4 separate regions of the Mus musculus genome follow, and regions 1, 2 and 3 are each reported to be linked to region 4. The links are microRNA targets in miRTarBase. Many come from high-throughput screens and were not tested one by one. Region 4 holds a microRNA gene; each other region holds the end of a gene's coding sequence.

Region 1 (7,122 bases), not on the chromosome of region 4:
CATTGGACTCAGGACATCAGGCATAGTGACAAGCACCTATACCTGCTGACATTCCAGCAGCCTCTTTTTAGATTTATTTATTTATTATATGAAAGTACACTGTAGCTGTCTCAGACACCCCAGAAGAGGGCATCAGATCTCATCACAGATGGTTGTGAGCCATCATGTGGTTGCTGGGATTTGAACTCAGGACCTTCGGAAGAGCAGTTGGTGCTCTTAACTGCTGAGCCATCTCTCCAGCCCTTCTCTGGCAACTCTTAGCAGATAAGAATCTTAGATTATCTTGTTGGATGTAATTTAAGAAGAAAGCCAACTACTTATACCTACGGCCATTTATTATATACACAAATGTCCTTAAGCTTCACAACAGAGCTTTTCTAAATGAATTTTGCATGATACAGAGTACAAACTGAACATCGCTTCATAATTCTGTTAACTGCAAATATCAAAATTATAGATGCTGTTCTTAATTTGGTTTTAAAAGATGCATAGTGGCTCTCTGTGGGTGAGAAGTATCTTGTGCTTGTCATCATCAAAAATATTATTAGAATTTGAAGAAAAAAAAAAAAGCTGAGGCGAAGGACATGCATGAGTCCCCAGGCTCAGAAGGCCAGCCTGGAACGACACAGAAGACCCCATCTTGGGAGTTAAACACCAGAACAAACTGTACTGTGCTAAAGCACGAAGCATGGATCTGTTGGGAATTTCTTTTTCTTTTTTTTTCTGAGACAGGGTTTCTCTGTATAGCCCTGGCTGTCCTGGAACTCACTCTGTAGACCAGGCTAGCCTCGAAGTCAGAAATCCCCCTACCTCTGCCTCCCGAGTGCTGGGATTAAAGGTGTGCGCTACCACTGCCCAACCTGTTGGAAATTTCTTACCAGTGGGAACTTCATCCCGAGCCGATCAACCCTGACACGGGAATTCCATGCTGTCCTCCTGGAGTGGAGGAAGCCTTGTTACGCAGCTGCATGAAAATGACGGGGGTGGGGCGTGGGGAGGACAACTAAGGAGATGGGAAAGCAACTCACCAGTGGGGGCATTTTAATTGGCAATTAGGTCATGACGCAAGTCTAGCTTCATTCATACTACGGAGTTGATATCTCAACACTATCATGTTAAAAAAAAAAAGCCCTGAAGATCTTACATGTCTGGTTTTTTATATAAAGATCAATACTTTTTTTTTTTTTAAAGATTTTTATTAAGCCAGACGTGGTGGCGCACGCCTTTAATCCCAGCACTCGGGAGGCAGAGGCAGGCAGATTTCTGAGTTCGAGGCCAGCCTGGTCTACAAAGTGAGTTCCAGGACAGCCAGGGCTATACAGAGAAACCGTCTCGAAAAACCAAAAAAAAATTATTTATTTATTTATTTATTATATGTAAGTACACTGTAGCTGTCTTCAGACACACCAGAAGAGGGAGTCAGATCTCATTAAGGATGGTTGTGAGCCACCATGTGGTTGCTGGGATTTGAACTGATTTGAACTCAGAACCTTTGGAAGAGCAGTCGGGTGCTCTTACCTGCTGAGCCATCTCACCAGCCCCCTCAATACTTTTTTTAAAAAGTAGTTGTATAAAAATTTTCTTAGATTTGACTTAACTAGTAACTTTGACAACTCTGTTTTAGAGGTTGGGCTAGGACCATGAGGTACACCTATGACCAAGGAACACTGAGGGAAGTGACTACACACACACACACACACACACACACACACACACACACACACACGGGGTGAGCTGTGAGGTAAAACAGAAGAGACTGGAAAGCCATCAGATGTGGAAGAGGTGATGTTGTGTGGGCTCAAAAGTCAGCAAAAGATGCATCCTGGCAAAGTGGCTAAGGCAGCTCAAGCATCAGGAGCAGGGCAGAGGGGACATGGGGCAAGAAGCAAGGTGAGAGGCACAAGGCAGGAGCAGTGTGTGAGAGCCTGACACAGCTCTCCTCATGCCTCCTTCCTCTCTCACCTGCTTAGGACACCGTGTTATCAGCATCGCTTTTCCCACCTCCTCGGCCTATTCGCCTGCCTCACTGGGACCCAATTTAACCAATATTTTCTCTTCAAAGCCTTCCCAGACTATTCCAGTCTCAGGACTAGTTGTTGTCCATGTTAGGATGTCATGGCAACTGTGACTTCATATACTTATGGTACCTGCAGACCTAGCATGTGGTGGGCTGGGCTGGGCTGAGGAACGAGGCCATCCTGGGCTATGTAGTAAGTTTTAGACTAGCTTGGGCTAGAATGAGACCCCATCTCAAAACCCAGAGTTTTTTTTGTTTTTGTTTTTGTTTTTAAAGAAAAAAAAAAGAAAAAGAAAAAGAGAGGGAGGGAGGAATTACATAGGTTTAGCCAGGTCCAATAGAGCATGCTTATCATCCTAGCATTTGAGAGGTAGGAACAAGAGAGTCAGAAATCAAAGTCAGCATCTACCACAATCATTTCAAAATCAGACTGACCTCTTCACGGGACCTTGCTTCAAGAAGCCAAAGAAAATTTAATTATTTTAATTAAAAGGGGTAATTGTTTCATGTCTATCATCCTTTTTCTTTTTCAAAGATTTATTTATTTATTTTATGCATGTGAGTACACTGTAGCTGTACAGATGGTTTTGAGCCTTCATGTAGTTTTTGGGAATTGAATTTAGGACCTCTGCTCACTCTGGCCAACTCCGCTTGTCAGTCCCTGCTCCCTCTGGCCCAAAGATTTATTTATTATTATACATAAGTACACTGAGGTGTCTTCAGACACACCAGAAGAGGGCGTCAGATCTCATTACCGGGTGGTGGTGAGCCACCATGTTGCTGGGATTTGAACTCAAAAATCAGCAAAAGAACTCAGGAAGAGCCGTCAGTGCTCTTACCCACTGAGCCATCTCGCCAGCCCCATATCAACCATACTTGATCTTATTCCATGAAGACAGAAACCTTTTTGTCTTGCTGGCTCAAGTGGCCGAGTCTTGGTATCACAATATAATGTCTGATACATAGAAGATATTCCATAAACTGCTAATGAATCAGTTCTGCTAAGAGTTTTTGCATGATGTTATATATAACACTGAATGTTTGATAGGTATGCTAAATTAGACCTACAAGAAAAAGTACAGAAGCAAATTCATATAGCTTTCCAGACTTAAGTCAATTTTATAGATGTCATAAGTAATAGTCTTTTAAAATGTGCTTGCTCTCTTTCTAAATGAAAGACTGGAAATTTGATAAAAAGAATAAACAGTAAAAGCACATAAAGGAATACCAACACAGAAAGCTATATAATTTTTGAATACCTTGACTGTATAGATAGTACATTCCTTTTTTATATAGTATCTTTTATACTTTTACTTTGTCATATGCAATATGTAATAATCTGCTCGAAGTTTAGGTAAACTCAAAATAAACCCAACATTTGAACTGTAATGCTTAGTCAACACTCAATTTCACATTTTTTCCTAGTGTCCTAATAAAATGGTATAGATAGTATCTATATCTGTGGTGAGTGAATATATAATTTTGTCTTCTGTAGGTACATCCAAACTAGTAAGTTATCTCAGATTTACCAAATTGCTACTGAAAAAGATCACTAACATAGCTAATATTGCTTCCTAGCTTTGGGTGACAAATTTTTCATTTTTATAATTAAGTACTAGAAGTATTTTGAAAATTGAAGAATGTATTGTGTCTTAGTTAGGGTTTTACTGCTGTGAACAGACATCATGACCAAGGCAAGTCTTATAAAAAAACAACATTTAATTGGGGCTGGCTTACAGATTCAAAGGTTCAGTCCATTACCATCAAAGTGGGAGCAGGGCAGCATCCAGGCAGGCATGGTGCAGGAGCAGCTGAGAGTTCCAAGTCTTCATGAAGTTGGTACTGGGAGTGGGGTATTGCTGTGATAGGCCTGACCATGCTTTTATTTGAAAGAATGTGGATTTTTGGACTTTGGATTTGGAACTCAGTAGAATGCTTTAAATGGGGCTTAATGGGTCATCCTAGTAGGAATATGGAAGACTTTGTTGCTGGGAGTAATTTGAACTGTGTTGACCTGGCCCAAGAGATTTCAAAGGAGAAGAATTTCAGTATGTGGCATAAAGACTGTTTTTGTGGTATTTTGGTGAAGAATGTGGCTACTTTTTGCCCTTGTCTGAAAAGTCTGCCTGAGACTAAGGTGAAGAGACTCAGATTAATTGCGTTGAAAAAGGAAGTTTCAAAAAAGCCCAGCAGAGACTTTGTTCTCTGGTTAAGTCTTATGAAGAGAAGTTTGAACATACATAGCAAGCCAGTAAAGAACACCCCTCCATGGCCTCTGCATCAGCTCCTGCTTCCTGACCTGCTTGAGTTCCAGTCGTGACTTCCCTTGGTGATGAACAGCAGTATGGAAGTGTAAGCTGAATAAACCCTTTCCTCCCCAACTTGTTTCTTAGTCATTATGTTTGTGCAGGAATAGAAACCCTGACTAAGACATACTGAAATGCCTAGTTTTGTAGAACCTAATTTTCCAACTATAAGTTACTGGCATTTGGAAAAAATAGTCACTTAAAAGAAAACTAGGGGGCTGGTGAGATGGCTCAGTGGGTAAGAGCACCCGACTGCTCTTCCGAAGCTCAGGAGTTCAAATCCCAGCAACCACATGGTGGTTCACAACCATCCGTAATGAGATCTGACTCCCTCTTCTGGAGTGTCTGAGGACAGCTACAGTGTACTTACATATAATAAATAAATAAATCTAAAAAAAAAAAAAAAGAAAACTAAAACTGTATAGCCTATGTTTAAGACACGCCCACTGGGCTCCTTTTTATTTGACATTGAGATACTTCTGTTTGCAAAGAAAAGACAGGAAAGTTCATATTACAAGAGTACTTTTTTGTTTTAATTCTCTGAGAAAATGGAAGAAGTCTGAATCCCAGGTTCACAATGTGGCAAGATGACGTGGAGAAATATAATTTCGGTAATGCTCTGCTGTAGCAATGTGCTGTGCCTCTGTCCGCCCTCAGGGTCAAAACCCCCCGGGCTACCACACTACAGCATATAAACACAGAAAAGGAGGCTTCAAAACAACCCCTTTAATGTACAAACATGAGTTTAAAAATGCTTTTTAAAAAAATCACCTTTTTTTTAACATAATGTATATGCAAAACTGCTTTAAATACATGATTTTGGAAGAATTATTTACAAATGTATCAGTCTGTGTAACAATTCACAGACAAAGAATACATAGTGGCTTTACGTGACTGTTGCATCTTGACTTTGGGAGATATAAAATTTATTCGGCAGTACAGCGAACACAAAAACTGTGACAAAGCATCTTAAGGGCAACCAAAAATGTGATCCTCAAAGTGGTTTAAATACGAGGACTGCCAAAGTTTCTAAACAAGGACAGACTTGAGTGACCCAGATGCCCACTCTCAGCTGCTCGGTTGGGAAGGTTGAGACAGACGCCCTGCAGCACCCGCGGCTGCAGACACAGCCCCCTGCAAAAGGGGCAGCTGACCACTACTGCCATCCAAAGAGTGAATTAACCTAGAATTGTCTTTTTTTCAATTTTATTAATATTTTAAAAAATACATAAAAATACAACCATCCAATGTCTGAATAAATATATTTAACAAGTTGCAAGATAATACCTTATTTTACACAAAATTTTCAGCTTTAGAAATCTTGTTAAATAACTTCATTGTTGTTATATATTTCATTTTTGTATTTTTGTAACAAAATAAAAACTCTGAAATTACATAGAAAAAAGACAAAATATTTTTGTCAAGGGATAAGATAGTCCACTGAAAACTTATTCACAATTCCACTGTAAACATTAATAAACATTAAAATATTTGCATAATTGTGTGCTCAAAAGTCCTATAAAAAGTGGAAGACTTATTACAACTGCAGTTTTCAGTCAACTACACTTCCTTTCACAATTTATTTTGTCCCATTTACACTTTTAAACCTGGGCACACTGCTGCACATATACTTTGGCAGTTCTACATAGCAAGTGCTTCCACAAAATTGAAATGAATAAAAAATCAACATTAATAATAATTATTATAATAATTATAATAATACAAGAATAAAACAAAATCAACCCCCTACTCACCAAGTGTTCAATGCATCTCAGTGAAAGTGCAGCAGTAACTGCTAACCAGATAATGCTCTCCTGTCTGTTGTGTGCGCTTGTCTATGATTTCTAGAACACTTGAAAGCTTTATTATACAAATTCCATTTTGCTAAGTGCCCTTTTTTTTCTCTATCACACACACACACACAAAAAAAAAAAGAAAGAAAGAAAGAAAATACAGAGGAAAAATTATGACCAATATGGCAGGCTGCCTAACCTTCAATTATTAATAAGCTTATTTTCTGCAACAATAAAAAAAGGAGAGAGGAGGGTCTAGATACAATCCTGGAAACTATACAGGAAGGATATACTTAGCCGGCTGAGTGCTTTCTGTGGTTGTATTTCAGGGTTTGGGGATTTATGTCCATGGCAGCAAACTGCTGTGGGGTGGAGAACTGTTCATCACCTGCACTCTACAGCAAGTACATTTTGGGGGGGAGACGATGAAGAAGGGCTCATTCCAGTGTCTGATGAAGCAGAGGACATTGACGCTCCTGCGTGAGACACTGTGGAATCAACACAACCAGGTTAGAGCAAGAAATGACTACTCAGATACCTAAAGTTAGATGCTAAATTCTAAGGAAGATTTGTTGTTTGTTTCTGCGACAGTCTCACATTGCCTAGGTTAGTTCAAACTTGATATGTAGCCAAGGATGACCTTAATTTCTGATTTTCTCGCCTCTACTCCACAAGTGTTGGGATTACAGGCTGTAACTAGATGTTTAGCATCATTCACTTCAATCAAGGGCCGATTAAACGATGCACAAGGGGTGCAAGTTGTCAGCAAGCACTCTGCTGGGCTCACCTTTGGGCCAATTAAGGGAATTAACCCTACAGAAGAGATATCACAAGGTTGGGAGGCAGCGGGCAGCGCAGGAGCCAGGGTGCTATGCACAGGCCCTGGATTCCACTCCCAGCACTGCAACCAAAATGAAAAACTAAACAAAGTCAGACATCACAAAAAGTAAGGATTAAAAGAGAGATGAAGTCTGGTGTCAGGTAGGGGCAAGAGTAGCAGAAGATA
Region 2 (7,110 bases), not on the chromosome of region 4:
CATCAAGGTCACCAACAGCTATGGGACCAGAGCTCATACTAAGGAAACAGCACCTGCCTTGGGGTGGAGAAGAACAGCTGTGCTTCGGGAACAGGGGTCCAAGTGAAGGGCAGTGGGTGCCACCCAACCCCAGCTTCATCTGAGTTGGGGGCCTTTGCACACTTCTTGCCACCAGCTGTGGCATGGCCTTGATAGAGACAAAACGACATGGTTCCTGCCCCTGGAACAGGGCCAGCAGGCGTGGGCCTCCACGAGAGTTGACGGCTGCTGTGGGAGTAAGGCTTGTTTGTATAATAATGAACATATTTTCATGTTCCTCCAAGGAATGTCCTCCCTGTTAACGTTAATGATTTCATGATAATCAGAGACACCGTGAGTCCAGGATAGGAAGGTGTGACTAATGTCTCAGCAAAATGCTAAACACTGGGATCTTCAGGACAAGAACTCTAAAGACATGTTCAGAAATGTATAATTTCTCAGCTATGCAAAAATATAAAATGCAGTATGAATTGTATAAGGAGCTTCACAGATGTGAAGGAGCAGAGGCGGCTGCACTGTGAGCCGGCTTGCCAGAGAGACGCAAAGACAGGCAGATACAAATGCAGGCAGATTCTTGAGTTCAAGGTCAGCCTGGGTCAGAGCAAATTTAGGTCCAAGAGTGGTGGGAGATGGTACTCTCAGGACAAGGTCCCACCCAGCTATGTTTACAGAGGCAGGCAGATCTCTGAATTCTTCTGCAATGTTAATAAAAGAGGGGGAAAAATGGACTTGCTATCCCTTTCCTGTGAGTCAAGGGGCTAAGGTCCTGGAGTGTGGATTCCCCGGGGTGGTCAAGAGGGAACCTGGAATAAATGACTGAATTGATATGTAAATAAAAAGCTAGGCTTTTGGGCTGCATGAGATGAGCTGGCAAAAAGCAATAATGGTTCTTAGAATTTTTCTCTACCAAGGAGAGCTGAGCTGTCTGAAGATCTCTGGAGAGGGAACATAGCTCTTCTAGGTTTTTTTTTTCTAACAGGATTCCTGATTTTAGTCTGGAAAGTCATGGAGAGCAAACTCAGCTTTTTAGAATTTTTTTCTAATGGGATTTCTGACCACTAAGAGTTACTTAGAGAGCCGACGTCGCTCTTTTACAATGTTTTCCAGAAGCTATTCAGAGAAGGTTGTCTGAAGAGCGCGCACGGCTCTTTGAGATTTTTTTTTTTCTTTCTGATTTTGATTGGAAAATCCAAGAATTAATTTTAGAAATTTTCAAACAGGGTTTCTGATTTGGTTAGAATATCCAAGAGGTTTTTTTTTATATATATATAGCAGCTTTTCTGACTTTGGTCAGAAAACCCACGAGCTATCCAGAGAGCTTGTAGGAAGTATGTTTACTAGCAGAGAGAATGGTCTCTCTCAGCTAGCAGAAAATTAGCTGTCTCAACCACAGAGCCAGCTTGGACCCACGATTAGACTTCAAGTTATTTGTTTGTACTGCTCCCAGACACCCCTTCTCTCAGAACCCAAACCAAGCTGAGGCTGGCCCTCAGCAGCCACCCCTACTCTTACCTGCAAAGCATCCACATGATGGGTTTCCTTCTGTTTGGGACATAGAGAAGGCTGGGTCCCAAGTTTTTCTTGCCCAAGATCTTTTTCAGTGGAGGACAGACTCAGCCATCTGATGACCAAGAAAGCTCGGGATGGCTCTCAGGATCCCATTCTCACCTCCATAGTCCAGTACACACCTAAGTAGTGGGCCTTCCTTCACTTTTCTAACATGCCTCTATCTGGTAATGCTGAACAATGCAAACGTGACAGACACATGAGCCTCTGATTTCCTTCCAGAAATCCCAGGCCTTGGTTTGGGGAGAATGTTTACTAACTAAAACCTTTTGAGAAATTGCTAGTCCCAGGTTTAGTGTGTGTGTGTGTGTGTGTGTGTGTGTGTGTGTGTGTGTCTGCCTGTCTGTCTGTCTGTGAGGGCAGTATAAGTGACATACAAGGCCTCACTAGCCTCAAACTTGGAGAAATCCTCCCGCCTCTGCCTTCCTAGTGTCGAGCCGGGTTAGAGGACTGAGCCGCTGTGCCCTCAGAGACAGTCCTATTTAATTAGTTAGTTAGCCTTCCTCATTCTTTACTCCTCGCTCATCATGGAAGGAAGGTTTTCCTTTTAATGACCAGGTTCCCAAAGCAGAAGAACATCTCACGTGCAACTTTAGAAATTATTTATTCCAAACAGTTACAAATTTCACTTTAAAGCAAACAAGAGGGCAAAAAGGCATTAAAAAAGCACTGACTTAGGTCTTAGGTATCAGCTCACAGGGGACAGAGCGTAAAAACCTTAAAAATATTGTCTCAAAGATAAAAACATGTAGCATTGAGGTATCCTGTTTTTAACGGATATGATCTCTTGCCAAAGTCTCTCTGTCCATTCCAGCTTGCTACACACTGTACCAGTCCTTTCCCTGGAAACAAGATCTCCATCTGAGCATATGTTCACAAACCTGACAGTGTTCCTTAAGGCGCATTAAGGTTGCCATAGAAACTTCCTGGAACTGGCACCCAACTACACTAGCAGCAGAGGCTGGAGAGACCTTTGGCAGACCCTCCCCAGCGCCAGCCCCAGGACCCTCCCCAGCTGGCCTGCCCCCTCCCACTTTGGCAGACCCTCCCCAGCTGGCCTGCCCCCTCCCACTTTGGCAGACCCTCCCCAGCGCCTGTCCCTCCCACTTTGGCAGACCCTCCCCAGCTGGCCTGCCCCCTCCCATTTTGGCAGACCCTCCCCAGCTGGCCTGCCCCCTCCCACTTTGGCAGACCCTCCCCAGCGCCTGCCCCTCCCACTTTGGCAGACCCTCCCCAGCTGGCCTGCCCCCTCCCACTTTGGCAGACCCTCCCCAGCTGGCCTGCCCCCTCCCACTTTGGCAGACCCTCCCCAGCTGGCCTGCCCCCTCCCACTTTGGCAGACCCTCCCCAGCTGGCCTGCCCCCTCCCACTTTGGCAGACCCTCCCCAGCTGGCCTGCCCCCTCCCACTTTGGCAGACCCTCCCCAGCGCCTGCCCCTCCCACCTCACCTCACTGTAGGCTCTTGGGATGATGCTGCCTCTACAAAGGAAAAGGTTTCTCACCACCTCTACCTGAAGCTGAGTATGGGAGTCTTTCCCAACTAGGTCAGCCATAAAGAACTACTAGGAAACTCTAGCTCGGAGCCCAGGCAACCAGGCAAACCAGGCATTCCTTAAACCGGCACACCATAACTAAGCCTGGCCCACCCTGTTGGGCTCTGCTCCACGCTGGCTCCAAGCCAATGCCGGCAGTAAAGCCCACACCGGGGTTCCCTTTCTCCCAAGACACCAAGGACACAGGAAAGATTCAGTGTGAGCTTTCAGCCAGGTGGGAAGGCAAGGCTCATGGAGAGAAAGGACTGTCGGCCAAATGTCGTGGGTGTGGCCAAGGCTTCTCCCTTGAAATAGTTTAAAGCTATTTCACTAATGCCAGAAGGACCAAACATCTAAGAACCTTAGAACTAGAACCAGTATGTGTTCCCTCTTTCTACCATGCAACAAAGATCATGTTTAAATCATCTCTGTCTAGACCAGGCATTTGGCTGCCTGGTCGCTGAATGCTGGTGTTAAGTGGTACTGTTGACAAGGCAGCCTGTGGGCTGCAGAAACTCCAGTAAGAATGACCCGAGGATGGAACACCTATTCAGCTTGCACAGAATTGAGACCAGAAGCAGCTGAGGGCATACACCTGTGTGAAGTGAACGAAACCGGACGAAACAGACTTTGTTGACTTAGCTTATAAAAAGTCAAAAGGAAAAAGCATCCTTTTGATACGGGTTGGGGGGAGGCTATCCCCTTACAACAATAGTGAAAACAACTTGGAGATCAAAGCCATTTAACTCACAGAGATAATGAGCTATCTGGATTTCAGTCTTCCGTCTGCCTGCTCTGCCTGGCTTGGGTAACAGCAGAGCCCTGTGAGGGACTGAAGAACTGTGAGTGAGCACAGTCGCCGATCCCCTGAAGATCACGATCTGTAACATTTTTAATAAATTTCCCTTTCACAGCAGTTTTGCTACCCTTGAGTCCCAAAAACTTAGCAAAGGAGGAAAGAAGGAAAAAAAAAAAAAACAAAACATGAATACTTGGCCTGATTTTCTGTCAACCTACAGAGCCTTTTCTAAGACAGCAACAGGACCTAAAATGTACAAAACCCACAAAAAAATAAAATAAAATAAAATAACTAATGCTTAGGTCAGTGGCCCCTAGAGCGGACAAGCAGAGGGCATGGGGTGACAGCTTCCGAGCTCTGCCCGTCTCGTCTCGTGGTGGTGGCAGAAAAGGCAAGTTACTGGCATAGTTCAGTAAGACGGCAGGTGTGGGGTGCTGTGGTTGCAGAAGTCACTTTAATCTAAGCACCACACTGTGGCTCTGTGGTCTCCTCGGTGACCACTAACATCACTGGATTCCTCAAAGCCCCAGGGGAAAGCATCTGAGGCCACTCAGTCAAACGTAAAGCAAGGAAGGCCAAGGTGGCAGTGAGGTGTAGCAGGAAGCAGACACCCTTCCTGCCTGCGCCTGGGAGTGTTCACAGGCTCATTCCCTGAAGCAGAGCATGGACAGGCTATTTTTATACTTTTTAAGACAAAAAAATCAAAATAAAAAATGAAACCAAAGGCTTTTCTGTTATAGGAAACAGCGGGTTGGTTTGGGTTTTTTTTGTTGTTGTTGTTTTGTTTTTTTGTTTTTTTTGGTTTTTGGTTTTGTTTTTTTTTGGGGGGGTGATTTGTTTTTTAGTTTAGTTTTGGTTTTTTTTTTTTGTTGCTTGTTTGTTTTTTTTTTCCCTCGATTTTCACTTGACTTGGTGTTTGGGCTACCGTTACTGCACTTGGTCCTCCAGGGTGGGCAGTGAGGGTTCATACAGTAGTGTGCAGTGAGCGGCCTCTTCCAGACTCTTGAGAGAAACAGGCAACAGTTCTCTAAAAACCAAAATGAAAGTGCATTCTTGCTAGTTAACGTTTTTTCTTTTTGCATGAATGTCGACTTTCCTAGTAGCTCCAGTCCAGTTGAAATCAGAATGGGCAAGGCTGGGGTAAAGTAGTTCTCTCCGCCCTGGAAGAGGCACCCCCTACCATCATCCCTCTCCTGGGAGAGTAGGGGGACAGGAAACGTGTTTTCCAGGCTGTACCTCCCGCAAGTACCATGAGGACGGTGGACACCCATCCGCTCTCTACTTCCACTCCGCTTTTCGCCTGAAGTCCTGAGATCGAAGAGGAAAATGAAGCCTCCGCAGCCAGCAGTGCCTGGGGTCATCATTCACATTTAAAAACTGCTTGTGAGAAATTGTCACTCGCGTAAACCATCAGGCCCTGAGATATTAGTCACCACCACCGGGCCCAGCTGCTTTCCAGATGTTGAGAAGGAAATCGGAACCAAGCTTCCACCCGGCCTCAGTGGCCTCGGAAAGAGAATGGCAAAGTGCTTGGACTTTAGGAGTTCGAGAGCTAAAAGGTGGCTTGGGGCAGTGAGGCAGAGCGAGGCAGCTGGGGCAGCCTTTGGAGCCCCTTTCTGAGGCCTCCTGAGGGTGCAGCTTGTGAGCCACTATCAGATGTGGAGCTGACGGGCATCTCTATTCAGTCATCACAAGCTGTCTTCACAATGGCCTGTGTTCCTCACAGCCCCTTCCTTCCTTCAGAGCCTATGCAGCACCAGCTGCACCTACTCAGAACCTGTGCAGAGCTCTTGTGGGTTAGTGAAGCTGCAGCCCCGCCCGCCCCACCCCACCCCAGGTGGATGGGACCCGCATGAGAAACTTGTGTGCTGATCTCGTGGTGCCCTGCCAGCTGCCAGGTACCATCCAGATGATTATCTGGGGAATAAGTAGTCTCTGTTGCTGTTGTCATAAGGGCTCTGTGCGTCCCTGACACCCAGGCAGCTGTGGTTTACGGTATTGTCAGACCCAGAGCTGTGTGGGGTGAGGAGAGGAACCAGAAGGAAGGTCGGCTTCAGTGGGCCCAAGGAATACGGTGGGGGTGGAGGAGAGGTCGTCTTGCTTTCCTTCTCAGCCTCTGACTTCCATTTCTGCTTGAGTCTTTATACAAACACAGAGAAACAAACAAACAGGCCTTAGACTCCTCCCAGGCCAAAGGCATGGTGAGAAACCCTATCTGCAGCAGCAGCAGCAGCCGCCTGCCTCAGTTGGTTAGGTGTGTCTAGGTTTGGCTTACAGAAATGCCGACTATCTGGCTCCCACATCATCCCCAGAGGTCCCACAACACCCTGAAGAGCTGGTGAGTTTCAAAACTACCTCAAGACCATATCTAACTTACAAAGGGAGAGAAATCTGAAGTGTTCCTTTATGCACTTCAAAAGTCACCTGACACATCCTCAATCTGCCCAGGGCCAGAGGCTGTCTGTTGGGCTCACATTATCAGGTCTCTATCCATTCACGTTTAAAAAAAAAAAAAAAAAAGCTGGGCGTGGTGGTGCACGCCTTTAGTCCCAGCATTTGGGAAGCAGAGGCAGGCGGATTTCTGAGTTCAAGGCCAGCCTGGTCTACAGAGTGAGTTCCAGGACAGCCAGGGCTACACAGAGAAACCCTGTCTCGAAAAACCAAAAAAAAAAGAAAAAAGAAAAAGGAGGTAGGTGGCAGAGATGGCTCAGCTGTTAAGAACACTGACTGCTCTTCTAGAGGTCCTGAGTTCAATTCCCAGCATCAATTCCCAGCATCCACATGGTGGCTCCCAACCATTTGTAATGGGATCTGATGTCCTCTTCTGGTGTGTCTGAAGACAGCTACAGCATACTCATATACATTAAATAAGTAAATATTTTTTAAAAAGAGGAGAGTATTCTTTCAGTGGGGAAGGAATATGGAACTCCGTCCAACAAAGGCTGTCAGGAGCAGATCACTCTCACAGCCTGCAATGGAGAGCAGAGAACAGGCTGTGTGGTCCCTAGTAGCACTCTATCCAGCCCTCTATATTCAGTACCTCAGTCTCCAGACACCTCCACCCACCCCACCCCAGCAGGGAGAGACTGCACCCTCTGACAGGGGCACCACTGGGCACGTGTTGACTCATCTGACAGGAAAGTCAGTGGTAAGCCGGAAGAGATAGGCATCGCC
Region 3 (7,122 bases), not on the chromosome of region 4:
AATACCAGGCTCGGAGCAATCTGGCCACAGTTATCTATTCTTGCCCTACCTTTAACTTCCTTCACTTTTGATGCTTCGATATTGATGTAAATGTTAGATTCCCCACCCTCCCCTCTGCTTACCTCCAACTGGTTATCCTATATAATGCAATCCCTATGTGCTTCTCTGACTGACCGTCATCTCCCAAAAGGCATAATAACAGCCAACTATTCTACCATATTTTTCACACTTAGGAGCTGTAATACTGATTTGCTTCTCTGAGTGCCCATAGCAGTCTCAATAGCCACCCACAATTACCATCTCCATTTTACCACTGAGGAAGCTGAGTACAGACTGCTTGATTTGCCTAAGGTCGAGGAGCCAGGATTCAGAACTAAGTCTATATTCTGGAACACTTTGCAATATTGGATCCAGACTACGTTATCACATTGTCTTGATAAATTTACCTGTCATATGATCGGTTAACCCAGTTAATTTCTCCCCTAAATAAACATGGCAAGTAGACCCTGGGCCACTAACAGTCAGGATAAAGTTGCTTTTTGTCCCAGGCCTTTTAAACTAGGTCCTTTCCACACAGGCCTCCTGCTAATATTTGTTCATTTCATAGTGTTATGGAGCCAACCCAGGGCCTCACACAGGCTAGCAAGCCCAATACCACTACATCCCTGTAGCCTCTGGGCCTGGTTCTAGAACAAAGAGTTTCTAACATAACCAACAATTAGACACCTGTGGGTCCCCAGACTTCTAATCATTTGCTTTAACCAAACCCAAACACCAGGGCTGAAAGTTAGGGATTGTGGGGGAAAGCTAATGACCAGACTAGGCAGCCTGCTTGGGACAGTAGCCAGAACACTTTCTACTTTCGTCCTCTTGAGTAACAGGACAATGTGTTTTGGACAAAGGAAATGCATTTCAGCTTAGTCCATGAGTGGGTCTGTGGAACCATTGAAATGGATTGTATTGCAACTAAACTGGTTTAGATTTCTGTTGCTTTTTCCTGCTTGCAAAGACAAGGGAAACCTACCCAACTGGCTCCTTCCAGAGACCAAAGTCATTCACCAGCATCTAGTACATCTTATCTACAGCAGGTGTGGACCTTCTCTTGGCTAACGATAGTGATATGGATAATGGGAACTAGGTAACCCTTACTCTTCCTTCCATTCTAATGCAGACTAAATTAAAGGTTGCACACTGAATGAACTCAAAACAGACTTGTATTAGACTCTGAGTGTTTTGTACCAAGGTGAATACATTTTGATTATTTGTTTGTCTTGTTTAAAAACAAAGCAAAAACAAACAAAACAGGGTCTTACTCTGTAGCCCAGGCTGGCTTAGAATTCACTCTGTAGACTATGCTATCCTCAAATTCATGGCAACGTTCTTGCTTTAGTCTCCCCAGTGTTGGAACTGTAGGTGTGAATAGCCATCCTTAGAGCAACATGAATTTCTTTAAAACGAGTGTGGGTGCACAAATGTCAGGGGTCAGAGGACAACTCTGTGGCATCGATTCTTTCCTTCCACCTTCACAGGATCTCCAGGGATGGACTCGGGTCATCAGGCTCCCTCGTCTACTGAGACGTCTGGAGAGCTTGCCGTTTGTTGTTGCTTACATTTTATTTATTTTACTTTTCACTTAGATGTATGTGTATGCATGAGTGAGTGATGGAGCCCACCAAAGCCAGGGATGTTGGCTCTCCCTCCCCCATAGCAGGAGTGGTAGGCAGTTATAAGCCACTCATCATGGATTCTAGGAACTGAATTTGGGTCCTCTGGAGGAATGGCAGGTGCTAACAGCTGAGCTACCTCTCCAGCCTGGAGTTTGTATTTAATAAAGGGCCATGGTCTTCTACCCTTGGAGACATCTTTGAGGTTAATATTCCCTTCTAAGGTCTGGCTCTCTTACGACACTTTCATAATTGTCATCTGTGTTCATTCATTCATCTATTTGCACTCAGTCAACAACCCTGAGAGACACGGTTGTGATCAAGATACAAAAGATCATTGTTCTCATGGGACGAGACATTTATTATTTTAAGTGAAAGAAAACCAAGATTGGATGTCGCAGCTAGCGAGAAATGAATGCTATGAGATCCAATCAGGAAAACGTCATTCAGGGAGTGTGCCCAGAAGACACCCTAGATAGAGTGGCCAGGGAAGGTGTCTAGAAGGAGACTTGCTTTGAGCTGGGACCTGGATGTCTTTGCCAGTTTGGGCAAAGAGGCCCAGGTAGAGGCTTATCAGCACAATACAAACAAACAAACAAACAAACACCCTCTTCAAGGAATGAGTACTAGATGTGTGCAGAATGCAAGGGAGTCCCATGCCCTGTGTGTTTATGGGGACTTGAGGGCACCAGAAGAATCAAGGGTCAACTTCTTAATGTTAACAGAAAGCCAGCACGATTTAAAGCATGAGCACTGTTCAGCATTCAGATGTCACTCTATCCAGATGCCACTCTATCCAGATGCCACTCTATCCAGATGCCACTCTATCCAGATGCCACTCTATCCAGATGCCACTCTATCCCTTGCCCTCCGAGGGACTGCTTCAGAGGAAACGTGTGCACAGTTTAAAGGTTGCTTTTGCTTTTGTTTCTTCTTTTACTTCAGACACATTGAAACTTGGGATCATTTGCTTAAGGTAACCATCTTAGCGTTTTTACTGTGCCTGAGACTAATTAAACAGAACATGATTGGTTTAAATAGAGCACAAAGTACTCCTCTCTAGTTTTGATAATCGCATGAGCTCTAGGGGTATGCAAAGGTGTTGGGAGCCTGTTATCCACTGTTCTGCAAAGATGAGTATTTTTTCTTCTAGTATCTGAAATTAATTTCAGTCATTGCACAGTCAGTCATTCGCTTTGCTGAAATGGCAGATGGAACCCAGGGGAGGCAATGAAGGAATTCCAGGAATGAAGGACAGAAGTGGCCTGTGTGTCTGCAGCCAGAGGTAAAAGATGTAACATTCCTATTGCCTAACATCGGAAAGGGGGACTGGAACAGAAACTACAGAACATACACAGACCAGTTTCTGATCGTAGAAAGAGTTTGGAACTTATTCATTCACCCACTGAGCAAAATGTTTGTTAATCCTGTACTATAGCTCTGAACTGGGTCTTAGAGTCCATTGGCGGGTCAGGCTTGACATGGTCCCTAAGGGAAATGGTCCCTGGTCTTTAGCCCTTTCTGTTGTATGGTCAGGACTTGTATCAATGTTAGTGACGCTGAAGCCAGGCAGGTAATTGTTCCCCTGAAACTAGTTTGAGGCTTTGTCTTCTGAGAAGGGATGGAAGTGTCCCCAAAAGAAAGGTGACATTCCTAGTGCCAGTCTTCCTCAGGAATTTTTAAATCCAGAGTCCCTGGTAAGGGGGGATTTGGAAGGAGTCCTTTGGCCAGACAGGGAAGATACTCTAGACCACGGAAGTAGCTGGCAGGGAGCTCAGAAGGTGTTAGTCCTTCGGGGGAATCCCAGGAACTTGGAGAAACCTTTCAGAGATTCTGTCTTCCTAGAGTTTCAGTGTTTGCCTGTGGATGGACCATGGCCTGGGCTGTGGTGACCTGGAGAAAGGCTTTGTGTCAGACCTGTCAAAGAAAAGGGGATGCTCTTCTTCCACAGCTAGTTTACAACTGCCAGGGCCATTAGGGAGGCCCCCGGGAGTGGGGGGAGGGGCAAGCTGCTTTCCTTGCTGTTCTTTCCAATCTGGAACATTCCTCTCAGCTCATTACCACCACACATTTAAAAGAGCTCACCGAGTCCTTGTAAATGTTACATTAATTCTAAAGGTTTTTGGGTTTTGGTTTTTTTTTGTTTTTTTTTTACATTTCATTTAATTTATATAGGATCTCACAGTGTAGCCCAGAACTCAAGCCTCTCTCCTCAGCTCTGGGATTATTGGTGTACCAACAAGGCCTCTCCATAACTCAGGACTGGCCAAAGCAGTGTGTGCAAGTGGAATGTGCTGTAAAGAACGTTCTAGAGAGACTTGGGTAAATTGCTTGGAAGTGTCAATCACTGTGGTAGGAGCAGGTAGATCATAGGTTAACAGCTCACGTGTAATGGAACTGTCGTTTGAAATTGAAACACAGCTCGACAGAGTACGAGGCCCACTGTGACCACAGCGTGATTGTCATTACCACTAATGACCTGAAGGCTCCCCTTCCACCCAGCATGCGTGGAAACAGTCTATGGTTTTTAGGTACCAGAGAGCAAGGGTAGGGAGTGGCTCATTTTTCTTTCCTTTTGGTTTGCATGTAAGCAAGAGAGAGAGCAGCAGTCATTACCTGAGGTGTCCCAGGCAAAGGTCATGTTCTTCTTTGAGATGATAAACTTTCTAAGCTAAGCTCACCCGAAGTCTTCTGACCCTTCCCTACTGAGCTATTATGTAACTTCTTATTTACAGACTGGTTGATCAGCCATTATTTATGCTGCTCAAGATAATTTAAATGTCCATTCCTTTTCCCCTACTGTACTGTGAATTACACCCAAGTGTTAAAGTAGCTTCGGAAGTTGGGATTTGTTTTTCATGGTGGCACAGGATAATAGATAGCCTGCTCTCTTTGGAGAATAAAAAGGGTTGACTAAATGAACATATGTTTGAGTAAGGAACCGAATGACGGTGCATACCTGTAAAGCCAGCACTTGGGAGATATAAACAGAAAGATCAGGAATACAGGGCCAGCCTCAGCTACATAGCAAGTTTGAGGTCAGACTAGGCTAAGTTAGACCCATCTTAAAAGTAAACAAACAATTGAAAATTTGTTTGCGTGCATGTGCGCGCACTCGTGTGTGTGTGTGTGTGTGTGTGTGTGTGTGTGTGTGTGTGTTTTAACCAAGGGAAACCTTTTAAGGCTAAGGTGTGGAAGGTAGTTCAGGAGGGCTAGGAAGACGGATGAGCAGTTAAAAGCAGTTGTTAGACTTGCAGAGAGCCCAGATTTAGATTCCTGGTGCTTGCTTGGGTAGCTGCCATTGTCTCAGAACTCCAGTCCCACAGGATCCCTTGCCCTCTTCTGGCCTCTATGGACACTGCATATGCACCTGGTGCATAGACACACATGCCAGCGAAACACCCTTACACAGAAAATAGAAATAAATACATCTTTAAAGGGGGAGGGGGACTGGCAAGATTGGCTGCTTGGTGGGTCTAGGTGCCTGCTAACCTGAGTTCAATTCCCAAAGGTCGTGTTCTTGAGAAAAAGTCTGGAAGTTGTCCCATGACCTCAAGTGCATGACCTCAAGTACATGAATGCCCTCCCCACATAAATAAATACATATTTTAGTTATATATATATATGTGTGTGTATATATATATATATATATATATATATATACTTTTTTTTTAAAGAGGCAGTTCAGCCTAATAATGGACAGGAGGGGGAAGTGGCGATCTGGTTTGCAGTGTGGAAGGTCGCTTATTTCAACTCTTCTTCAGTTCACAAAACAACAACAACAAAAAAGTTTGTGTAGAGCTAGGCTCTGTTCAAAGGATTCCTTTCCCATGAAAATCACTAAGGCGAAGATAAGCATGCAGAAAAGCACATCCTTGCACAAGCTGTTACAGGCAGCCTTCAGCCCCAAGGCAGGCAATGCAATATGAACACACATCTCTGTAAAATACCCTGAACTAGCGTGTCCTCTGAGTGATAAGGGGACAGAGGGCGTGTTCCCCTCCAGGACCCACCCATCTTGACAAACTGGTCTCCTCAGAGGCCTTCCTGAAACCATACAAAACTGAGAATAAAGAGAGCAAGAAGGTGGTCGCATTCAACTTAAATGCTTTTATTGACAATGTCTTGGAACAATAAGCAAACAATGCTTAAAATTTTTCATTCAAATTCACTTTCCACATGTCGAAAGACCTCAGGGTAGAAAAAAATAAAATAAAAATATAAATATCTGAGAATCCATCTTAATAAATAAATTGAAAACACAATAAAAACGTTTTCATGGAAAACTGTTAATGTCAGAACATTCAGACCACCTCGACAATGCATGATCAGTAACATGACAATGAACATTGACGCTGAAGGACTACAGTACATGGATATAGCTATTGATTTCTATCTACTGGAAAATAAAGTCCTATCTTTTCTTAGTTTAATATTGGTCGTTTCTAATTGGAACACGCTATTGCCAGGAACACAGTAGGTATTGTTAAAATCAGCTGCACTAGATACAATCCAGCACCAGGTTAATTCCAATAATGAACCCAACAGATTAGTTAGTGCTATGAGAAAACTAAGGAGAAAGAGAAAAGAGACACAGACCAGGCCTTGACTCACATGCTCTACTAACTACCAGCTCTCAGGTGTCACTAGGAACAACACACTCCATGCGGTTTTTTGTTTTGTTTTGTTTTGTTTTTGCTACATCTCTGGAAGAGGTGAGGACTGGAGGCCAGATGTGGATGCTTGCAAGTCCTTGAGGCCCACAGCCTGGTGTGTTTCACGAACAGGTAAGGTCCTCCCTAGGTCGACGGGAACCTTCGAGGGAAGACGTGTTTCTCCTCTCTGTAATGCACCAGCTCGGGCAGTGGCACGTCTGGATGCCGGCTGCCTTGCCTTCTCTGACTGCTCACAGGGCCAGCAGCGTGGGTGAGCTCAGGGAGTCGGAGGAGGGCTCGTTGCTGCTGCTGCCCTTTCGGTGGGCAGCGGCACAGCTTGGGAAGGAGTCAGCTTCAGGGTAGGTGAAGACAAAGGAAGACGTGTAAGTAGTGCAGCCCGGAGTACAGGTGACCACGGGAGTACACAGGGGCTCCAGCTCTGTGACCATGGGCCCCATCCCCAAGGAATTGCTGTGCAGAGGCTCCCAGTCTGCTGCATAGAAGGAACCGGACAGGTCCACATCTGGCACAGAGCGGGAGGTCTCTGAGCCACTGGGCCTAGATGATGCCGGAAACAAGAAGTCATCAAAGGGTTCTGCCTTCAGCTCCACGTTGCTGATGCTCTTGACTGGCTCCAAGGATGGCTTGGGCTCAGGGTCGTTGAGAAGGGGCAGGGTGAAGGCCTCCTCAGACTCTGGGGTGGAAGCCTCAGGCAGACCTCCAGTCAAATCCAGGGAGGCCACAGACATCTCCTCTGGGAAGCCAAGGTCATCGGGGATCTTGCAGGCAGGTCGGTGGGCTGC
Region 4 (7,122 bases):
AACTGAAATCGCCCTCGAGGCAAAGGATAAGTCTTTACACGAAGCACTATTGAGATACGTTTTAATGATGCTGTATAAAACAGAGGTTAAAGTGACAGAAAACAACCAAAGCTTGGTTAAAACCACTCAAACCGCTCCATCTGTGACTATTTTGTGTTGGATGTAAAATGACTGGAGATGCTCAGTCACTTTTGTCCAAGTCTTTCTTCATCCAATTAAAAGCTGTCTACCAAGACCTGGGTCCTTTCTCCTCCGCCTCTGTTCTGCACAATGACTAGCTAACTAACCGATTAAGTGCAAATTAACTGAGGACTTAAACCCCACCCCACCCCTCCTTCCTCATTGCACTGTAGGAACTTCCACCCTGAAGCCTGTCTCACCCTGGAGGAATTGGTTCTGATGGTCAGAGACTCCGGACTGAGAACAGAAGCCAGGCTAGAGCAGATGAAGAACTTTAGGAGCTATAAGAAAGGGCATGGTGTTCACAGTCATCTTCAACTTTCATCTTAGGTCAAAAGGCAACCAAAGCCTTGTTAACTATGACTCGTGCAGAGCTTCCCCGTGTCTTCATGTTTTACTCGGCTGCTTTAACCTTCGCTCCCTACTTCCCTGGTCTAGTCCAGAACATAGCTTTAGAAACGCAGGTTCAGGGTAAATTCTGGTGGGAAATCCAGATGATTTGTAAATGCAATGATATGCAATTGATTTTAGTAATCCACATAGGATTCAACTATGAATTCTATCTCTATTAGTATGTTTTTCAAGTTAATAGATGATAGAGATAGATAGATAGATAGATAGATAGATAGATAGATAGATAGATAGATAGATACATAGATAGATACATAGATAGATAGATACATAGATACATAGATACATAGATACATAGATACATAGATACATAGATAGATACATAGATACATAGATAGATACATAGATACAGATAGATAGATAGATAGATAGATAGATAGATAGATAGATAGATAGACAGACACATAGACACATAGATACATAGATTGTTAGATGATAAATTAGATAAACTCATCTGAATTAAACCATTTTAATTGTCCAAAATATGACCTTCTTTTCACCTAGTGGCTTTAAAACTAGAATTTGTGTTACTCTATCAATACACAATCATGCTTTTCCAAAGAAGTGGATATTCATTCACTTCAGAACCTCAAAGGAACAGTTTCCAAAAATTTGTATATGTCAAAGTGAATAGCTAGGGCTGTCCCACATGGTATTGGTGAAAAATACAACCACTGGCTTCCTATAAAGAAAATATTTCATCATGCAGTTTCTTTGATAACTCTCGAATGGTTGGTGCTAAGAATAAGCCAGACAAAAAAATAAGCACATAGATATATACACATGTATATACATATATATATAATTGTAGGAGGATCTAATTCATGATTTTCTTGCTTGTTTGCTTGTACGTATGTTTGTTTGAAATACAGTCTCTCCCTATATAAACCAGAGTAGCCTGGAACTCCCAGAAACCTTACTGCCTCTGCTTTTTGAGTGCTAAGATTAAGGGTGTGTGCCACCACACTTGGCCTACAACTCATGATTTTAACATAAAGTGAGACCCTCATAAAACAAATGGAGTCATTTGAGAGAAAAGGTGGGAATGAATGCAGATGTCTTTGATAACTCAATCAGAAACTTAAAACTGGTTACAGTGGCAAAGTTTGTTTGTATGTATGTATATGTGTGTGTATGTATGTATGTATGTATGTATGTATGTATGTATGTATGTATGTATATGTGTGTATGTATGTATGTATGTATGTATGTATGTATGTAGATATATGTGTGTATATGTATATGATGAAAGTTGAAGATGAGTATGAATATGATGCCCTTTCTTACAGCTCCAAAAGTTCATCTACCCTACTCTGTATGTGTGTGTCTGTGTGTGTGTGTTATATGTGTGAGATACATGTGTGTGTGTGTGTTACCACAAAAAAATTACTAAAAATAAAAAGATCCAGTATAGGACATATTCTTCTCTGAGTACCTTAGCTGATAACATTTTCCCTGGCAAATCAGCAAGACTAGACAGATTGTGACATTCTATGCCTCCCTTATACCTCAAAATATTATCCTGAAGAAAAGTCTAATTATATTCTCCTGGAATGTCCTTAGGTTTAGGCTATACCACAGAGAAATGGTGATATGCCACATAGTGAATGGGACCTGGACTTACGATTTGTCTGAACTAAATATAGTGCTTAAGGTTGGTCGAGATTTTTACCTAAGGTCAAAAGAGTTGATTGCAATAGCAATTCCTAACATTATATTTTATTATTTATTGAGACGGGGTCCAATATAGCCCAAGCTGACCCCAGAGGTGATAAGTAATTGGGAACAGCCCTGAGCTCATGATCCTCCTAAGTCCATCTCTCAAGTCCTGAGATCAAAGGCTGCACCAGTGTCCATGTATGTGGTACTTGGGAATCAAACCTAGGCTTTTCATGTAGATAGATGATAGATAGATAGATAGATAGATAGATAGATAGATAGATAGATAGATAGATAGATAGGTGTGTATGTGTGCACACATGTATGTATATATGTAATATACATATATATGTATATATGGCTATACATATATATGTATATATGGCTATATATATATAGCCAGATGTGGTGGTATATGGCTATAATTCCAGAATTTGGGAGACTGAAGTGTAAGGTCATGAGTTCAAGGCCAGCCTAGGTTATATAGGGCAACCTTGGCTACCTATACTAAATATATTCTTGGTAATACCTTTATTCAGATGGTATCTTTAAAGGATAGAAACAGAACTTATAGATAAGTTATTTACTTAAATTGGAATGGGGTTATGTAGGCACTCATGCACACATGCACAGTTGCATATATTCTCCCTAATGGGTCAATAATATGGCATGAAGTAGAACACTAGAATCTTAATAGATTTACTGAGGACTTACTGAGTTCAATGCACTATGAAGAGAAAAGGTATTATTACAGTCTTTCTTTTGGCTGAAATAAAATCCAAGATTGAAACTGTGTAATTCACAGACTTTCCTCATGAAACCAGCTCATCTGAGAAAACAGCAAAGTTTAAAAAAGAAATACTATCAGTAAGTATGATATATTTCCTTGGTTTGGAAATTTCCAAGCCACGATATTCTGCCCTGTCAAAATATATTCACTGGGGAATTTTTAACTTGATGCATTTCTTTTGAACTTAATCACATTTCTACATCTAGCTGGTTTCATTATTAAAGAAAAGAAAAGGTGGTTCCCCTCTGGTCCTAAAGGGAACCACAGACTTGAGTGATGCTTGAACTTCTAGGTTCGCGTACAGTAACACTGAAACCAGAAACTTGTGGGAGAAATGTCACTTTATCTGAGAGAGTAAAATCCAACTCTAACAGGAAACAGCAAATTCATCTTTTTTCTTTTTCTAAACCACTCTGCTGGAGACAAGTCCCTTGAGTCAGAGCTCTTTAAGGCGCACTTCCTTTACATGGGTCAAACTGAAGCCACCGGTTTGTGAGTCCCCAAAGGAATCACTGGAGGACAACAGGAGCATTTTCAGATACCTTTCAGGGCAGACCTGCCCTGGCTGTACCCCCTATCTTGAAGAAAAAGAAAAACGAATAAGGTGAAAATCGCAACTACTATTTATAGAATCAAAATGGGTTCATCCATTGAGTTTTAACTTTCAAAAATCATAAAGTACCATCCTAAATATCTGAGATTTCTTGAATTGCCTAGTGACCTGTGGGATGTACGTCAGAATATTACCCAGAACTGAAGTTGTGTCCTTTGAACTTCAGCATTGTAGAACTATGAACCGTGGCTGTGTTAAAAATGATACATGTATTCAAATATTTCCACAGAATTTAAAGTTTGATTTTATAATTAGTTTTTAAATTGCAAACCTTACAAAAATTTTCCAAAATTTACTTAGAAGCATTTCAGAGCTCTTTTCTTTCAAAGCTGAAGTCTACCTTGCCTTCAGATTCATAATCGTTCACTCTACTTTATAACTAACTGTGTGCGTACACACAACTATTTCTTTTTCTCTTTGCAGGTGCTGCAAACCAGGAAGGGGAAGTGTGTGGTTTAAGTTGCATATCCCTTATCCTCTGGCTGCTGGAGGCTTGCTGAAGGCTGTATGCTGTTAATGCTAATTGTGATAGGGGTTTTGGCCTCTGACTGACTCCTACCTGTTAGCATTAACAGGACACAAGGCCTGTTACTAGCACTCACATGGAACAAATGGCCACCGTGGGAGGATGACAAGTCCAAGAGTCACCCTGCTGGATGAACGTAGATGTCAGACTCTATCATTTAATGTGCTAGTCATAACCTGGTTACTAGGATAGTCCACTGTAAGTGTTACGATAAATGTCATTTAAAAGATAGATCAGCAGTATCCTAAACAACATCTCAACTTCAAGCCCACATGTTTATTTTTTATCTTGAATGGAAAGTGAAACTTGTATCATTTTTATTTCAAAATTATGTTCATAACCATCTTCAATGATTCAACCAGAATACAAAATGAATGCACTAAAAAGGACATTTCTATATTTCTGTAGTTAAAATTCAGGACGGCCATTCTCGACTGACATCTAGGATTGTCTGGAATACCTCTTGTAAGACTTGGAATTGGCATTTTTTCCACATTACAATGTATTAGTCAACTTTGATTTAAAATTTGTAACTCTTGTGTTTTAGTGTAAGGAAAAATTTAGGGTTAGTGTTAGAGTTTAGGGCTAGGTAAGGAAAAACTGAGTCAACACTGAATGATTTTTTTAAAATCTATGAGCCAGCTGTTGGTAGTTTACTCCTTTAATCCCAGCACTCGGGAGGCAGAGACAGGCAGATGGCTGAGTCGAAGGCCAACCTGGTCTACAGAGTGAGCTCCAGGACAGCCTTAGCTACACAGAAAAATGCCTTATCAAAAAATTAAGAAAATAAGATGAAGTATTAAAAAGTGACATGACAAATCATTCCTGAGGGCTACCTATATATTCCTCACACGGTATAAATATTTAATTTAATTAATATTTAATTTCAAATATTCACATTTGAAATGAAACCCAAATCTGGGTTCAAGCTTACTGCTTTAGCTGCACAGTAAAGCTGTGTAGTAAGGAGACCCACGTTTCCTACGCATTTCTTCATGAATGCGGATGAAACTTTACAAGGTTGGTGTGCAGCTCACTGGAGATGAACAACTCTTTGTAAGGTAATAAAATCCCACAGTGATGTCTTAAAGCCAATCCAAAACTCACCCCGTTGCCTGACATAGGTAATAATTTGATATACAGAAGTTTAATGTTTGAATTCCTATGCAATTTTTCTCCACAGTGATATCACTGACGAACACATAGACAGCTGGACTTGTTATATTTAATTTATACCTGTTCTTTTTTTTTTTTTTTAAAGACTTTTTATTTATGTATATATATGTATATATATATTTATGTATATATGTAAGTACACTGTAGCTGTCTTCAGACACACCAGAAGAGGGAGTCAGATCTTGTTACGGATGGTTGTGAGCCACCATGTGGTTGCTGGGATTTGAACTCTGGACCTTCGGAAGAGCAGTCGGGTGCTCTTACCCACTGAGCCATCTCACCAGCCCTAATTTATACCTGTTCTGATAGTTCTCCTGAATATCTTGTCATTGTCTTCCCTATAGCCAAATAAATGTCTTTGAGTCTTTAGTTGGCTTAGAATACTTTTTGTTTGTGATGACCCTTTCTTTTGCAAAGTACAGACTGTGATTTCAGAAGACACACAAAAAAGACAACAATGGAATAAGTCACAAGGACAGTGAGAGGAATGCCCCTGCCTGCCATGACACAGACAGGGCACGCCACCCCCACTGCCCCACTGCCTTCTGCCGAGTACGCTGCCGACATAAATTCCTCCTCTCAACCCTTGGATGGAGCTTCAGGAGTCCTTGTACCGAGTCTCAATTCTTCAAAATCCTTTTTGCTGCCTACAACCACAAAGTCACAGAAAGCTAGGAACCCGCTGCGTTCTCTACATTACCCTCCAGCAGTTCCAATCAAAAGCTCTGAAATCATAAAGCACTGTAACACCTACTGCATGCTTAGGCAAATCACTTGCTCCATGTCTGTTTCTCCATCAGTGTGTGTATCTCTGTGATGTAATTTTATTAAGGCTTAGATGAAATACCACAAGAGGGAACACACTTTCTACCAGCATTTAAGTGATGAATACATACAAACCTTGAAACATGTATAAGTCCATAATCTAAATCGACGCAGCAGGCGTCCCTGGAACACGCCACCTCCTCAGCTATCATCCCACCCTAACCACCCACACAACCCAGACGTGGCCAGCAGGCTGGGTCTTCCCGGATGCCCAACTCTACTAGCTGACCTCTTGGCATCACAGATGGATTATTCCTGACCAACATTTCCAGTCATTCCAAAAATTCTTGGAGTATGAGTTAAGGCTGGGTGTGTTTGGAGTGGAGAGTAAGTAATGAGGAAGTTTGTGTGTGTGTGTGTGTGTGTGTGTGTGTGTGTGTGTGTGTGTGTGTGAGTAAAGGAAGGGCAGCCCAATTTCGTGCACAGAAGACTAAAGGGAATGAAGCACTGAATTACATAGGATGACCTGGGCACAGACCAGCCCCTGAAGCCATTGGCTGAGAGTTAGAAAACAAGTTTTTCCTGGTCTTCATGTGGGACTTCTAACAGTGAGAGCAGGGGCTGCCTCTGACTGTTGCCTGCCTGTGGGACCCTTTCAGGCTGCCTAATGGGCTGCCTTGTCTAGCCTCAACGAGAGAAGATGTGCCTAGCCTTAACTGCAACTTTTTATGCTAGGGCTGGTTGATATCCATGGGAGGCCTCCCCTTTTCTGAAGAGAAACAGAGTGGATGAGGTGGGAGAAAGGACTGGGAGGAGAGGAAGTTCTAGTCGGGATGTATAAGTAATTAGAAAAAGATTTTTTGTAAAGAAACTAACTAGGAAATAATTAGAAAAGGAAACCCAGCTTTTCTTGCTCGCTCTCATCAGCTAAATAAACCTAGTAGCAGAGGTAGGACAGGAGAGAAAGCTGGGACAGACTGAGGCACACATAGAAACTGTGGC

Evidence for each region. Region 4 holds the annotated microRNA mmu-miR-155-5p (UUAAUGCUAAUUGUGAUAGGGGU, at 4,167-4,189, shown strand). A microRNA usually pairs through its seed, bases 2 to 8, with sites in the 3' UTR of a target mRNA and lowers its output. Matches are read on the target gene's strand: a 7mer-m8 pairs with bases 2 to 8, a 7mer-A1 pairs with bases 2 to 7 and ends in A, and an 8mer does both.
Region 1: the mRNA of Arid4a is a reported target of mmu-miR-155-5p. Seed matches in the 3' UTR shown: 7mer-m8 at 6,128-6,134 and 7mer-m8 at 4,936-4,942.
Region 2: the mRNA of Il6ra is a reported target of mmu-miR-155-5p. Seed matches in the 3' UTR shown: 7mer-m8 at 4,229-4,235.
Region 3: miRTarBase lists Fos as a target of mmu-miR-155-5p. The part of its 3' UTR that is shown has no 7-base or 8-base seed match.

What each region holds. Positions count from the first base shown.
Region 1 is chr12:71,096,983-71,104,104 of GRCm38, reverse strand. It overlaps Arid4a (AT rich interactive domain 4A (RBP1-like)), which reads right to left. Exons shown (of 24, transcript NM_001081195.1): 24 at 4,754-6,604. The coding sequence ends at 6,501. Among named protein-coding and RNA genes, the nearest start is that of Tomm20l, 11 kb to the left of the region's middle.
Region 2 is chr3:89,865,312-89,872,421 of GRCm38, forward strand. Il6ra (interleukin 6 receptor, alpha) reads right to left here. Exons shown (of 10, transcript NM_001310676.1): 10 at 4,013-6,075. The coding sequence ends at 5,850. It overlaps Gm46811 (a long non-coding RNA gene), which reads left to right and starts at 6,794. Exons shown (of 3, transcript XR_001783918.2): 1 at 6,794-7,110.
Region 3 is chr12:85,475,907-85,483,028 of GRCm38, reverse strand. It overlaps Fos (FBJ osteosarcoma oncogene), which reads right to left. Exons shown (of 4, transcript NM_010234.3): 4 at 5,755-7,122. The coding sequence ends at 6,571. Among named protein-coding and RNA genes, the nearest start is that of Fos, 5.6 kb to the right of the region's middle.
Region 4 is chr16:84,709,977-84,717,098 of GRCm38, forward strand. Mir155 (microRNA 155) reads left to right here and starts at 4,164; the gene lies at 4,164-4,228. Mir155hg (Mir155 host gene (non-protein coding)) reads left to right here and starts at 3,047. Exons shown (of 2, transcript NR_132106.1): 1 at 3,047-3,117; 2 at 4,077-5,269.